3 linked regions of the Ovis aries genome follow. The protein of the gene in region 1 interacts with the protein of each later gene in a biochemical or structural test. Links are inferred from orthologs where the notes say so. Each region holds a gene or a part of one and is shown in the gene's direction. Other genes may lie near its edges.

Region 1 (3,500 bases):
TTGGAGGTGGGAGTTGGGATTTTGGGGCGGGATTGGAACCAGGACAGGGTTTGGATTAGTTGGACACCCAAGGATCTCAGCCAAGTCTGTCATCTAAGCCTCTGTCCCCTTCATTGTCCCCAGTACTCTGAGCTCCAAGATAAAGTGACATCTGCAGAGACCAAAGTGCTGGAGATGGAGACGACAGTAGAGGACCTGCAGTGGGACATTGAGAAGTTGCGGAAGCGAGAGCAAAAACTTAATAAGCACCTGGCAGAAGCCTTAGAGCAGGTGAGGCTCAGGCGCTGGGTCAGATGGAGCCTGAACAGAGTACTTGGGGCCCTAACTTCTCTTCTCCACACGCACGTGTCCATCTCTTCTCTCCACAGCTCAACTCTGGCTACTATGTGTCTGGGAGTTCTTCAGGCTTCCAGGGGGGCCAGATCACACTCAGCATGCAGAAGGTGAGCAGCAGCATTCTTCCTGGTCCCTCCTGCAACTTTTTCTCTACTCTACCCTTGAACTTCCCCCTTAGAATTAAGGACAACTGGGGTCTTGGAGGTCTTTGCCTGTCACTCACAGTGTCCTTTGTTTTATTGTTTCATATCTGTATTCAGTAAATAGTTGTTGAATACTGAATGTTAGCTACTGTGTAGAAAGTAGTTATTTTGGAGAGCAAAACAGAAACCTATCTTGGAGCTTAAGTTCTAGTTGGGGCGTTAACAAGAAGTAGGTAAATCGTATATCAGTTGATTAAAAGTCGGTCAGTCAGTAGAGTCCAGTCCAGTCCAGTCCCATCCCTCAGTCGTGTCCAACTCTTTGCAACTCCATAGACTGCAGCACACCAGGCCCCCCTGTCCATCATTAACCCCTGGAGTTTATTCAAACTCATGTCTGTTGAGTCAGTGATGCCATCGAACCATCTCATCCTCTGTTGTCCCCTTCTCCTCTCGCCTTCAATTTTTCCGAGCATCAGGGTCTTTTCAAATGAGTCAGTTCTTCACATCAGGTGGCCAAAGTATTGGAGCTTCAGCATCAGTCCTTCCAAAGAATATTCAGCACTGATTTCTTTTAGGATGGACTGGTTGGATCTCCTTGCTGTCCAAGGGCTTAAAAGTACCACTGAGGAAAGAGGTGTTGGTTGTGTTGGAGGCATTTGGCATTCTCGTTGTGTAGCTGAAAAAGGGCCTTGCTGCCACTGTCCCCTTCCATGTCCTGCTTTTGCTCTCACTTTTGTCGCTGCACATTGTTTTTCTTTTTTCGGTGCTGCAAAGTCATTGTTCCCTGTCCTCCTTTTCTCAGCTTGCTCTTCAGGTCTTCCAGGAAGGCTTCCCTGACCCCCTGTCAGATACAAGCCTTGGTTCCCAGCACTGACCATGCAGTATTACATTTTCTCCTACCTAACTGGGAACACTTAGGAAAGTGCCTGGGTCTGGTTTGTCCTTGAGCCTTCAGAATCCATCACTGCTCCATATAGGGGAGCTTGGGCAGAGTATATGGTGAGGCTGTGAGGGATGCACGCCTCATGCCCTGGCCCTGCCTCCCACTGGTCTCCTCACTCCACAGTTTGAAATGCTGAATGCGGAGTTGGAGGAAAATCAGGAATTGGCCAATAGCCGCATGGCAGAGCTAGAGAAGCTGCAGGCCGAACTTCAGGGGGCCGTGCGGACCAATGAGCGCCTCAAGGTGAGTTGTGTTTGGGGCTGGGAAGGCCTTACCCTGTAGGGTGGGCGCTGAGCTCTCCTTCCTCTTGCTGAGTGAGCTCAGACATCCTGCCCCTAGGTAGCATTGCGGAGCCTTCCCGAGGAGGTGGTCCGGGAGACAGGGGAGTACCGGATGCTGCAGGCACAGTTCTCACTGCTCTACAATGAGTCTCTGCAAGTGAAGACCCAGCTGGATGAGGCCCGTGGGCTGCTGCTGGCCACCAAGAATTCCCACCTGAGGCACATTGAGCACATGGAGGTATGCCCGTGGAACAGGGGTAAGGGTCAGGCCCTCTGGGTTAGGTTGTTCCTGGGTCAAGTGTGTCAGAGCCCGGGGTGCCTGCCAGAGATCCCTTGGGAATAAATTCTTCCTAAGCCTCTGAGGTTGAAGGTGGGCTTGCCATGAGCCCAGGGCTTGTGTGGGTCCTTAATGCCTCACTTCACAGAGTGATGAGCTGGGGCTGCAGAAGAAGCTACGCACCGAGGTTATACAGCTGGAGGACACGCTGGCCCAGGTTCGCAAGGAGTACGAGATGCTGCGCATCGAGTTTGAACAGAACCTGGCGGCCAATGAGCAGGCGGGTATGTGCGAGGACAAGTTTGAGGTGGGGCCTTTTGTGGGATTGCTGGGCTCTGATGTGGCCAGATGCTTGTCCAGAGGTTAGGTCCTTTCCTTTCACAGAGCCTCATCTCTCTGTGAAAAATGGGGACCCCACCACATGGCTCAAAGATGCAGTGAGGTTTACAGCTGCCTGAGGTGGCTGATGGTGCCAACTCTGCCAGAACAGGAGCTGTCAGCCCCATCCATGATTCTCTGGCCTTTAGGGTGCCTCTCTACTAGTTCATTTTACAAAGGTTTATTGAACACCTCTTTTGAGCCAGGCTCAGTTCTAAGCTTTGGGATTATACCAGCAAACAAAATACAAAGAATCCCTGCTGTTGTGGAGCCATGTTACAGAGAGAGAGGACAGACAACAAAGGGAAAATTGAACATGTATGTTGGGTAGTGACAAGTATACCAGGAAAAGTAAAGCAAGCAGGGAAGATAAGGAGGTATTAGGAGAAATGCCAGGGACATGAAACTAAGAAGATGACATTTGTTTAAAAAGCTAAAGGAAGTGGACTAACTTACTTTTGTGAGTTTTCAGTTATATGTTCCTTTGAAGGAAATCTGGAAATATTTGCGAAATCTGCATTAGCAAAAATAACACACAGCATCAGATTACATTTGAGTGAATTTTTTTCAGTTATCTGCTGAGCTCACTCTGTCTGTATAAGGCTTCAGTTTTCTTCTTCTTTGTAGTGAGAGTGACGGCTCTGGCCCTGCCTCTCCCCTCACGGAGGGGTTGGGCCCCTAACCCAGGGACCAGTCTGACCTTGGTTTCCTTTGCTCCTCAAGGGCCCATCAACCGCGAGATGCGCCACCTGATCAGCAGCCTACAGAACCACAACCACCAGCTAAAGGGGGATGCCCAGCGATACAAGCGGAAACTGCGCGAAGTACAGGCCGAAATTGCCAAGGTGAGGAGCGGGCTGCCTGGGGACGGCCATGGCTAGGCCCCAGTGATCATGTCTCACCTCAGCCCTGTTCTCTCTCTGCTTTGCAGCTCCGGGCCCAGGCCAGTGGCTCTACTCACTCCATCCCCAGCCTGGGCCACCCAGAGGACTCCAGCCTCAGTGCCCCAGTCCCAGGGAAAGAAGAGGGTGGGCCAGGCCCTGTTGGTGCCCCCGACACCAGGAAGGAGATGGCTTCCATGCCTGGCGCTGCCCTTACTACCTCGTCAGCGAAGAAGGAAGACCTGGTGCCCTCCGAGGAAG
Region 2 (4,270 bases), on another chromosome or scaffold:
GCCCCCGAGGCCTTTATTTGGGCTTCCCTGGTGGCTCAGTTGGTAAAGAATCCACCTGCGAAGCAGGAGACCTGAGCTCCATCCCTCGGTTAGGAAGATCCCCTGGAAAAGGAAATGACAACCTACTCCAGTATTCGTGTGCCTGGAAAACCCCATGGACAGAGGCGCCTGCTGGGCTACAGTCCATGAGGTCACAAAGAGCCGGACACGACTTAAGGACTAAATCATCACCAACACACACCAACATACACACACACGTAAAGCTTAATTGGGGAGTATACTTGGATATTTTCCCCTCTAAATATGCCACTGTGCCTGTAGCAGTCTATAAAATTCAATTTGCAGCAACTCGTTAGCACTTCCCAGGTCTTATTGGAGCTTCTCTGGTGACTCAATTGGTAAAGAATCCGCCTGCAATTCCAAGTTCAATCCCTGGGTTGGGAAGATCCCCAAGAGAAGGAAATGGCAATTCACTTCTGTATTCTTGCCTGGAAAATCCCATGGACAGAGGGGAGCCTGGTGGGCTACAGTCCAAGGGGTCGCAAAGAGTCGGCTAGGACTCTGCGACTACCACCACCACCACCAGGCCTTAGTTCACCTGCGACAAACTCCAGATGACTGGATCTGAGCGCGGACGAGCTAAAAGAGAAAAAAACGAGAAATAAAGGAGACGGTGGGGAGGGCGCGGCTGGGGTGGAAAGTATGAGTGTCTCCCTACATCAGCAGGCTCATCGGGTGTTTCAAAGCAGCGGCGCTGGCCCTTCCTCCGCGGGTCCTCACCTTGGTCTTCGAAGGCGCACGGGCTTCGGGCACAAAGCACGGTGACCCTGAACACCACCTACCCTTTTCCCGAGCTTCCGGGGATGATTTACTTCTGTGAGGCCGAAGGCCTAGTTCTGGGTCTGCCGCCGGTCTGAGGCGGGAGCGAGGCTCCGGTTCCGAGGAGAGGGCCTCGCGGGAGCTCGGGCCGCCGCGCACGCAACGAGCACCTGGGCTCACCGTCCGCCCGCCGCCCAACCACGGGCTTCCCGGCCGGAGCCCGCAGGGGCGGGGGCGGGGGCGGCGGCCGGCGCGCTCCTCCGCGCGCCCCCCGCCCCCGCGCCGCCGGGCGCACGCGCAGCAGCGCAGCCGCCCTTATTTAGTCCGCGATGGCTCCTCGCACGCCCCACCGGCCTCCTCCCATAGACGCTCCCCGCCCCGCGCGCCCCGGGGCCCCCGGGACCAGCCTCGGGCGGCTCCCCGAGCCCGACTACCCCTAAGCCGGAACGGCGGCGGCCGAAAGGGCGCGTGCGGACCGGTAGCGGCGACCGGAAAGAGCGGACGGGTCGCGAGGAGACGAGCCAGGCCGCGGAGGAAGAGGAGGGCCGCGACGAGCCGAGGTTTGCCGAAGGCGGCGTTCCGGCGCGCGCGAGGGTGGGAGAGGAGGGGCGCGGCGGAAACTGCCGAGGGTTTCCGAAGGCCGCAGCGGCCGAGTTGCCCGGATGTAGTTGGTGGAGCGGCAGCGGCGGCACCAGCGGCGGCGGCGGCGGCAGGAGGAGGAGGCGGCGAAGGACCCAGCGGCGGCGGCGGGGGGAGGAGGGGAGGAGGCGGCGGAGCGGGAGGAGGAGAAGGCGGAGGAGGCAGTCGCGCTGTCCGCGGGGCGAGCAGGACGCGTCGTGTTGCCCCCTCCCCCCCACCCCCCGGTTCGCCGCTGCCCGGCCTGAGCTGAGCGTGAGCGTGGTGCGGACTGAGGAGATGGCCCGGGAGCGCCGGCGCCAGTGACGGGGAGGTGCTGAGCGTCGCCGAGGGCGCGCCGGGCCTGCGCCGCCCGCCGCCTGCGCGCCCGCCCGCCGCCGCCGTCTCCCGCGGCCGCTCCCCCCTCCCCGACACACGCTCACAGGCCGGGCATTGATGGTAATGTATGCGAGGAAACAGCAGAGGCTCAGTGATGGGTAAATCGTCTTTTCGTTTCGAGGCGGCGGAGCGGGCGGCGGGGGGGCGCTCCTCCTCATCTGGGCCGGCCGCGCCGCCATTTTTGTTGTTAACCCTGATCCGGAGCGGCCGGGAGGGGGAGCGGCCGCGCGGGCGGCGGCGGGAGGGGGGGGAGTCGGGGGTGGACGGCCGCGGGCGGCGGCGGCCCCTCGCCGGCGGGAGCCCGTGTGAGTGCGTGTGAGCGGGTGTGAGAGCGAGAGCGTGTGCGCGCGGCGGGAGGGCGGGCTGCCTGGGGCCGGAGCGCCGCTGGGATTCGGAGCGGGGGCCTTTCTGCGGGCCCCGCGCTGGGGGCCCGTTCTCCGGCCTCAGGTGGCCTTTTCTTCTGTTTTCCAGCTGTCACGACCGGCGGGGGGACGCGCAGCCTTACCAGGTACCACGGGGCGGGCGCGGGCTGCGGGGCTGGCGGGGCCGGCGGGGGAGGGAGGAGCCGCTACTCGAGCGCAGGCTTCACAGGTCGCTGCAGGCCCTTCGGGGCCACAGACGCGAAACCCGCTTGGTGGGGCCGGAAACCCTGCGCTCGCTTCCCGGGGCGCTCGCCGGCGAGGGGTGGGGGCTTATTTTGACAGGTGACGGGAGGAAGTTCAAGTTCTTTTTGCGGGGAGGGTGGGGGGAAGGGAATAAAAACTGATTCTTGTCCAGGAAGGACCTGACTCGGTTATTCGGGTGTGCGGGACTCGGTAGGACAACGTGTTCAGTAACTCTGGAATCACCTTCATTTGTTGTTTTGGGGAAACTAAAAGTTAACGCAGAGGTATCAGAATTAGACGGAAGGGCAGGGAAGAAGCCACTGATGGGTTTGCAACTCTTTAAGTGTGTTGTAAACCATTACCCCTTCCCAGTTTGTTTTCGGTGGAAATAATTGTCTTCAGTGAAAGATGGCGCTTTTCTTTTTGTAGAAATTGAGATCTTTGAGTACTTGGGTAATTCACTGTCCTGAAAGGAGTTTTAGGTACATAGTTTTCTTTTTGTGACAGCTTCGTGTAACATTGTAAAAGTTTTTTTGAAAGAGTTGGCCCCTGTTTTCCGGGGGAGGAAAATTCATTAATTTGTAACTGTGGGGTGACTCTAGAAGTAAATACTTACTGCATCTGACCACTTAAAGGATAGGAGAGCGGGTTTCCAAGCTAACGGTTGTGTTTCTGGATAGCATGAGTTAAAGTTCCAGTTAAAAATCTAGGTTCCTTGACGGGTAAAACATTGTGCATTACATTTGGATAGGTCAACGATTAAACTGTTGAATCACACTCTAAAACATGGTTAATTATGCATTAAAAAAGACAGCTATATCATGGTTGTCTTAAATATGTTAAATGTTTTTTGAGGGAGTTCCATTAAGTTCCATTAGGATAGGTCAGAAATAAGAGCCTACATTTCTATACCTTAAAATTGTTTCCCATGCCTGCAAGAGTAGTTAAACTAGATCTGAAATGCCTTACTTACTTGAATCCAAGAATTGGAGAAATTCTGATGAGAATTCTCTGAATTCTGATGCTTTTTTTGGGTCAGATCGAAGAAACATGTTTATGCTTATTTGTATTTGTGTCTAGCATAGTTGCAGAGCAAAAACATTAGAGTAGTACTCAGTGAATACTTAAACTTTTTAACTGGCAGAAAAGTTTGAGGAGTTAATTTGTCAAAGTGTTGATTTCTTGTGTTTACAAGATGATTAATAGAAGGTTTTTTAAAAAAAACACATTTTGATATGTATGATGAGCCTTACAATAACTTGTGTTTAGGTCTTGTGTGAGTAACTTAAAGGCAGAATTCAAAAAGAAAATTTCAATTTTATAAATTTATAAAACTGAATATAGGTAATATAGCAAATTTTATGATAAAACTGACTTATGAAATTAAAGTTTGATTTCTTTTTTATTTTGGGGGGGTGATGTTTTACAGGCACTTAAGTATTCATCGAAGAGTCACCCCAGTAGTGGTGATCACAGACATGAAAAAATGCGAGACGCCGCAGATCCTTCACCACCAAACAAAATGTTGCGGAGATCTGATAGTCCTGAAAACAAATACAGTGACAGCACAGGTCACAGTAAGGCCAAAAATGTGCATATTCACAGAGTTAGAGAGAGGGATGGTGGTGAGTAGCTTTTTCTATTGAAACTTACATTTATTAATAATAATTCTATGTAAGACAAAAAGTTTTAGTCATATTTCCAGTTTGCAAATGTTACTAAATGTTTATGTCATCAGAATATTTTGATTCCTAAACAAATTATGTAGAAATAAGATGCTGACCCCAGAATCTACAGCTGGACCCCAGTGGGTGATAATTAGAGGATGCATT
Region 3 (4,078 bases), on another chromosome or scaffold:
GTTCTTTGCATCAGGCGGCCGAAGTATTAGACTTTCAGCTTCAACATCAGTCCCTCCAATGAATACTCAGGAATATTCATGAATATATGCTGTAAGGTGCAGGAAACTGTAGATGTTAGCTCAGGTACCGGGCAGACTGTTGGAGCAATTCAGGGAAAGAACAAAGAGAAGGGAGCTGGCGGGGGGGGGGGGGGGGGGGGGGGGGGGGGGGGGGGGGGGGGGGGGGTGGGGGGGGGGGGGGGGGGGGGGAGTTGGGGGGGGGTGGTGGTGGTGGCAGGTGACTGGATGAGTTTGCTTTTGGATAGGTCGAGTTATAGGGACAGACAGGTTGAAGTATCCAGTTAACAGGTATACAGGCCTGAGCTTCTGCAGCAAATACTAGATGAAAGCACTGAATTGGGTACGACTTCGGGAAGAGTGAAGAATGAAGTGTGCGGAAAGGGCGAATACGGAGGCAGAGCCGAGCTTAACACTGGGATTTAAACACGGACAGGGGGAAAAGCAGCAGAATGAGGAAAGACGGAGGGCGACATTTTGAATGCCAAGGGAAAGACGCCTTCAAGTTGAAAGCGGTTTGGGACGCCTCCTAGAGGTCAAGAGGAGGATGACATACTATTCTGGGCTTCCCTGGTGGCTCAGACCGTAAGGAATCCACCTGCCTGCAATGCTGGAGACCCCGGATTCGATCTCTGGGTCGGGAAGATCCTCTGAGAAGGAAATGCCCTCGATTAAACCGGAGTCTGAGGAACAGACGGGTGGGGATGGGGCGAAGCCACACCGCAGGCAACAACTAAATTGAAAGAAAAGAAGAGGCCTCAGTAGTTTTGTATTTTTTAAGGTAGTCTGGCTTTGACGAGCCAGAAAAGGAGGAACTTAGTAATTTAAGGTTCCAAGGCCCTTGAGTGGGAGTAACTGCATCTGCTAAAGGCTCTCTGCAGCCCTTTAAAATCCTTTTTGGGAAACCGGAAAAAACCTACCACCCGTAACCTAGGAAAAAATTGCCGCTCAGTAAATAAAGCAAAACAGAAGAGCGTTTTGTTTGAAAGCCTTCACTTTAAAAACCCTGGCATGCAAATAAAGGGCTTTAATATGGCTCACAACGATTGGTAGGTACTTATAGAAGCCGTCATTTCCTCGTAGCCCAAGATGCAAACGAAGAGTCTGCTCTTCGCTTTCCTATTGGCTGTTCGATCGGACTCCGCTTTTAGCCAATCAAACCACTTCCCTTCACCCCTCCCGGTAGCTCTTATAAATTACATCAAATTGGTTACCCTTGCCATATCGTTCTCCTTGAAAAAGAAGCTGTAACTGCAGTTTTAGCAGTAATGTCAGGCCGCGGAAAGCAGGGAGGCAAAGCTCGGGCCAAGGCCAAGTCGCGCTCATCCCGCGCTGGCCTTCAGTTCCCTGTAGGGCGAGTGCACCGCCTGCTGCGCAAAGGGAACTACGCCGAAAGGGTGGGGGCCGGCGCACCGGTGTACTTGGCGGCAGTGCTGGAGTACCTGACCGCGGAAATCCTGGAGCTGGCGGGCAACGCCGCCCGAGACAACAAGAAGACGCGCATCATCCCTCGCCATTTGCAACTGGCCGTGAGAAATGATGAAGAGCTCAACAAGTTACTCGGGGGTGTCACTATTGCCCAGGGCGGTGTCTTACCCAATATCCAGGCAGTCTTATTGCCCAAAAAAACGGAGAGTCACAAGCCTGGCAAGAATAAGTAATTAAGAGGCTTGATACCATCCCCACTCACCCCAAAGGCTCTTTTAAGAGCCACCACCAAAGTGTCAAAATAAAGGGCTGATCACAAAATAGCGCATTAGCTCTTTTTTTGAAAACTTGGGTGGCTCTAAAAAGAGCCTTTGTTCTTTGGTTTACTTTGTAAGGCTTTATTTGCTTTTGGCTTTATGGCTTTCGGTTTTCTTTGGTAATAAAACGGCCTGGATGTTGGGCAAAACGCCGCCTTGCGCGATGGTAACCTTGCCTAACAGCTTGTTCAGCTCTTCGTCGTTGCGGATGGCCAGCTGCAGGTGACGAGGAATGATGCGCGTCTTTTTGTTGTCTCGCGCCGCGTTGCCGGCAAGCTCCAGGATCTCGGCCGTCAGATACTCCAGAACCGCCGCCATGTAGACGGGCGCGCCGGCCCCCACCCGCTCAGCGTAGTTGCCTTTGCGCAGCAGGCGATGCACTCGCCCTACCGGGAACTGCAAGCCTGCACGGGACGAACGCGACTTGGCCTTCGCCCGGGCCTTGCCTCCCTGCTTTCCGCGACCAGACATGACTAAAGATAACAGTAGTACCCTTAAAGATCAAAGCCCCTCGGCAAATGTTTAAGAAAGATCAGCAATTGGAAAGCCTTTATAAGTTTTCTGAGGGGTGGGGTCAGGAACGAGCTTTTCATTGGTCCCAAATTGGCTCCTGAAACAGCCAATAAGGTTAAGAGTCGGTGTTATTCTGTAGCTATTACTGATAACGTAAGGTCTCTCCACGGACCAATGGGAATGTAAGACTTTTGGAGCCTTAATTTGCATACGGTGGTTATAAATGGATCAGGCCCGCCCATTCTCATACCTCTTTTTTTGCCAAACGGCGTTGCTTCACAATGCCTGAGCCGGCAAAATCCGCTCCCGCGCCCAAGAAGGGCTCCAAGAAAGCCGTCACCAAAGCCCAAAAGAAAGACGGCAAGAAGCGCAAGCGCAGCCGCAAGGAGAGCTATTCCATCTACGTGTACAAGGTGCTGAAGCAGGTGCACCCAGACACCGGTATTTCGTCCAAGGCCATGGGCATCATGAACTCATTTGTCAACGACATCTTCGAGCGCATCGCGGGCGAAGCGTCGCGCTTGGCGCATTACAACAAGCGCTCAACCATCACGTCTCGGGAGATCCAGACGGCCGTGCGCCTGCTGCTGCCTGGCGAGCTGGCCAAGCATGCCGTGTCCGAGGGCACCAAGGCGGTCACCAAGTACACCAGCTCCAAGTGAGTCCCTGCTGGGACGCGGCGCTCGCACGAGTCGCAAAGCCGCTTGATTTTCCAAAGGCTCTTTTCAGAGCCACCCACCTAATCACCAGAAAAGAGCCTTGTTCACTTGTTTCTCCTCAGTTCCTCACAAAGTAAGTTACTCTAGTTGGCTAAAAGTAATAGAAGATGACACACGTAGCTTTTTAAGCCCTTATGACTTGAGATTCCTGGCGCGTGACTGGCTTTGCTTTTGAATCTAGGGCGCGTCTTAACCCTCACTGCTGCTTAGCTTTCGTATGAGTCAGTTCTAAATTAGGATACTGAGACTGCTCCTAGACTTGTGTCCTGGTGGCTCTGTTGGGTACGTGTCACCGGTGTTCCAAAACGAAGTGAGTGATTTCAGCTATCCACATTTAAGAAAGGACCCCAGGACACGACCAAGCCCGGGTCTTTCGAACACTGCATCACAGCCCTGAAGAATTGCGAGTTTGGCAGCTGCGTGGGTGCCGGATCACGAATTAGGCCCTTGCGATGTGGCTTCCTGTGGACACCAGCGGTTCGGGATACTTCATACTGAGCCCGCGCTGCCTGGTCTCAGCCTTTCCCTGATTGGACATGAATATTCAAACTCTCCCGCCGCTCCGGAATTCATAGGTTCTGGTTTGCGCCGCTCACTTTGGCGCTGTGAAATTCCTGTTATTTCTTGGTTTGTGGATCATTTTTGCTTTTAATTCTCTTTTCTCGGAATATTTCGGCGTCAAGTCACCGGAAGGCACTAGTCATTTTAGTCTGGTCTCAAACGTCACCTCTCAGACACCTTCGGGAAGTTGTGTCTCTCCTTCCTGCCTCTGGTCCCTCACTATTTTATTTTCTTCCTAGCAGCTGTCAGAAATTGTTTTGCTATTAATAGTTGGTTTTTTTTTTTTTTTCTTGTTTACCATTTTCCTCAAGACCTTAACGGAAACTTTATTGGTTTGGTTTTCCTCTATATCGTCCCCGCCAACCAGTGCTTGGCACACAGTGGACGGTTAAGTACTTACTGAATTAGTATTGAATTCATTTTTCTGTCCCTCTTCTTTTAAAAATAGCCTTCATGGATGGATGGATGGGTGCGGTTCATTTC

The links. The genes of interacting proteins can lie anywhere in the genome.
Region 2: the proteins of RNF40 (region 1) and WAC form a complex in vitro, tested with the Homo sapiens proteins (2 studies listed by BioGRID). The link is inferred for Ovis aries from reciprocal best matches to the Homo sapiens genes RNF40 and WAC.
Region 3: of the proteins of RNF40 (region 1) and histone H2B type 2-E, one has a biochemical effect on the other in vitro, tested with the Homo sapiens proteins (2 studies listed by BioGRID). The link is inferred for Ovis aries from reciprocal best matches to the Homo sapiens genes RNF40 and H2BC21.

What each region holds. Positions count from the first base shown.
Region 1 is NC_056077.1:27,403,519-27,407,018, forward strand, and holds part of RNF40 (E3 ubiquitin-protein ligase BRE1B), read left to right. Parts: coding exon 1-6; intron 7-123; coding exon 124-270; intron 271-368; coding exon 369-443; intron 444-1,545; coding exon 1,546-1,665; intron 1,666-1,761; coding exon 1,762-1,941; intron 1,942-2,128; coding exon 2,129-2,264; intron 2,265-3,081; coding exon 3,082-3,203; intron 3,204-3,289; coding exon 3,290-3,500.
Region 2 is NC_056066.1:35,544,043-35,548,312, reverse strand, and holds the start of WAC (WW domain-containing adapter protein with coiled-coil), read left to right. Parts: upstream 1-1,470; 5' UTR 1,471-1,890; coding exon 1,891-1,931; intron 1,932-2,016; exon of another isoform or gene 2,017-2,138; intron 2,139-2,304; coding exon 2,305-2,342; intron 2,343-3,850; coding exon 3,851-4,063; intron 4,064-4,270.
Region 3 is NC_056054.1:99,992,048-99,996,125, reverse strand, and holds the start of histone H2B type 2-E, read left to right. Parts: upstream 1-1,278; 5' UTR 1,279-1,325; coding exon of another isoform or gene 1,326-1,718; 5' UTR 1,719-1,883; coding exon of another isoform or gene 1,884-2,273; 5' UTR 2,274-2,596; coding exon 2,597-2,977; 3' UTR 2,978-4,078. Other genes in the region: histone H2A type 2-B, read left to right, coding at 1,326-1,718; histone H2A type 2-C, read right to left, coding at 1,884-2,273. UniProt on the Homo sapiens protein: Core component of nucleosome. Nucleosomes wrap and compact DNA into chromatin, limiting DNA accessibility to the cellular machineries which require DNA as a template.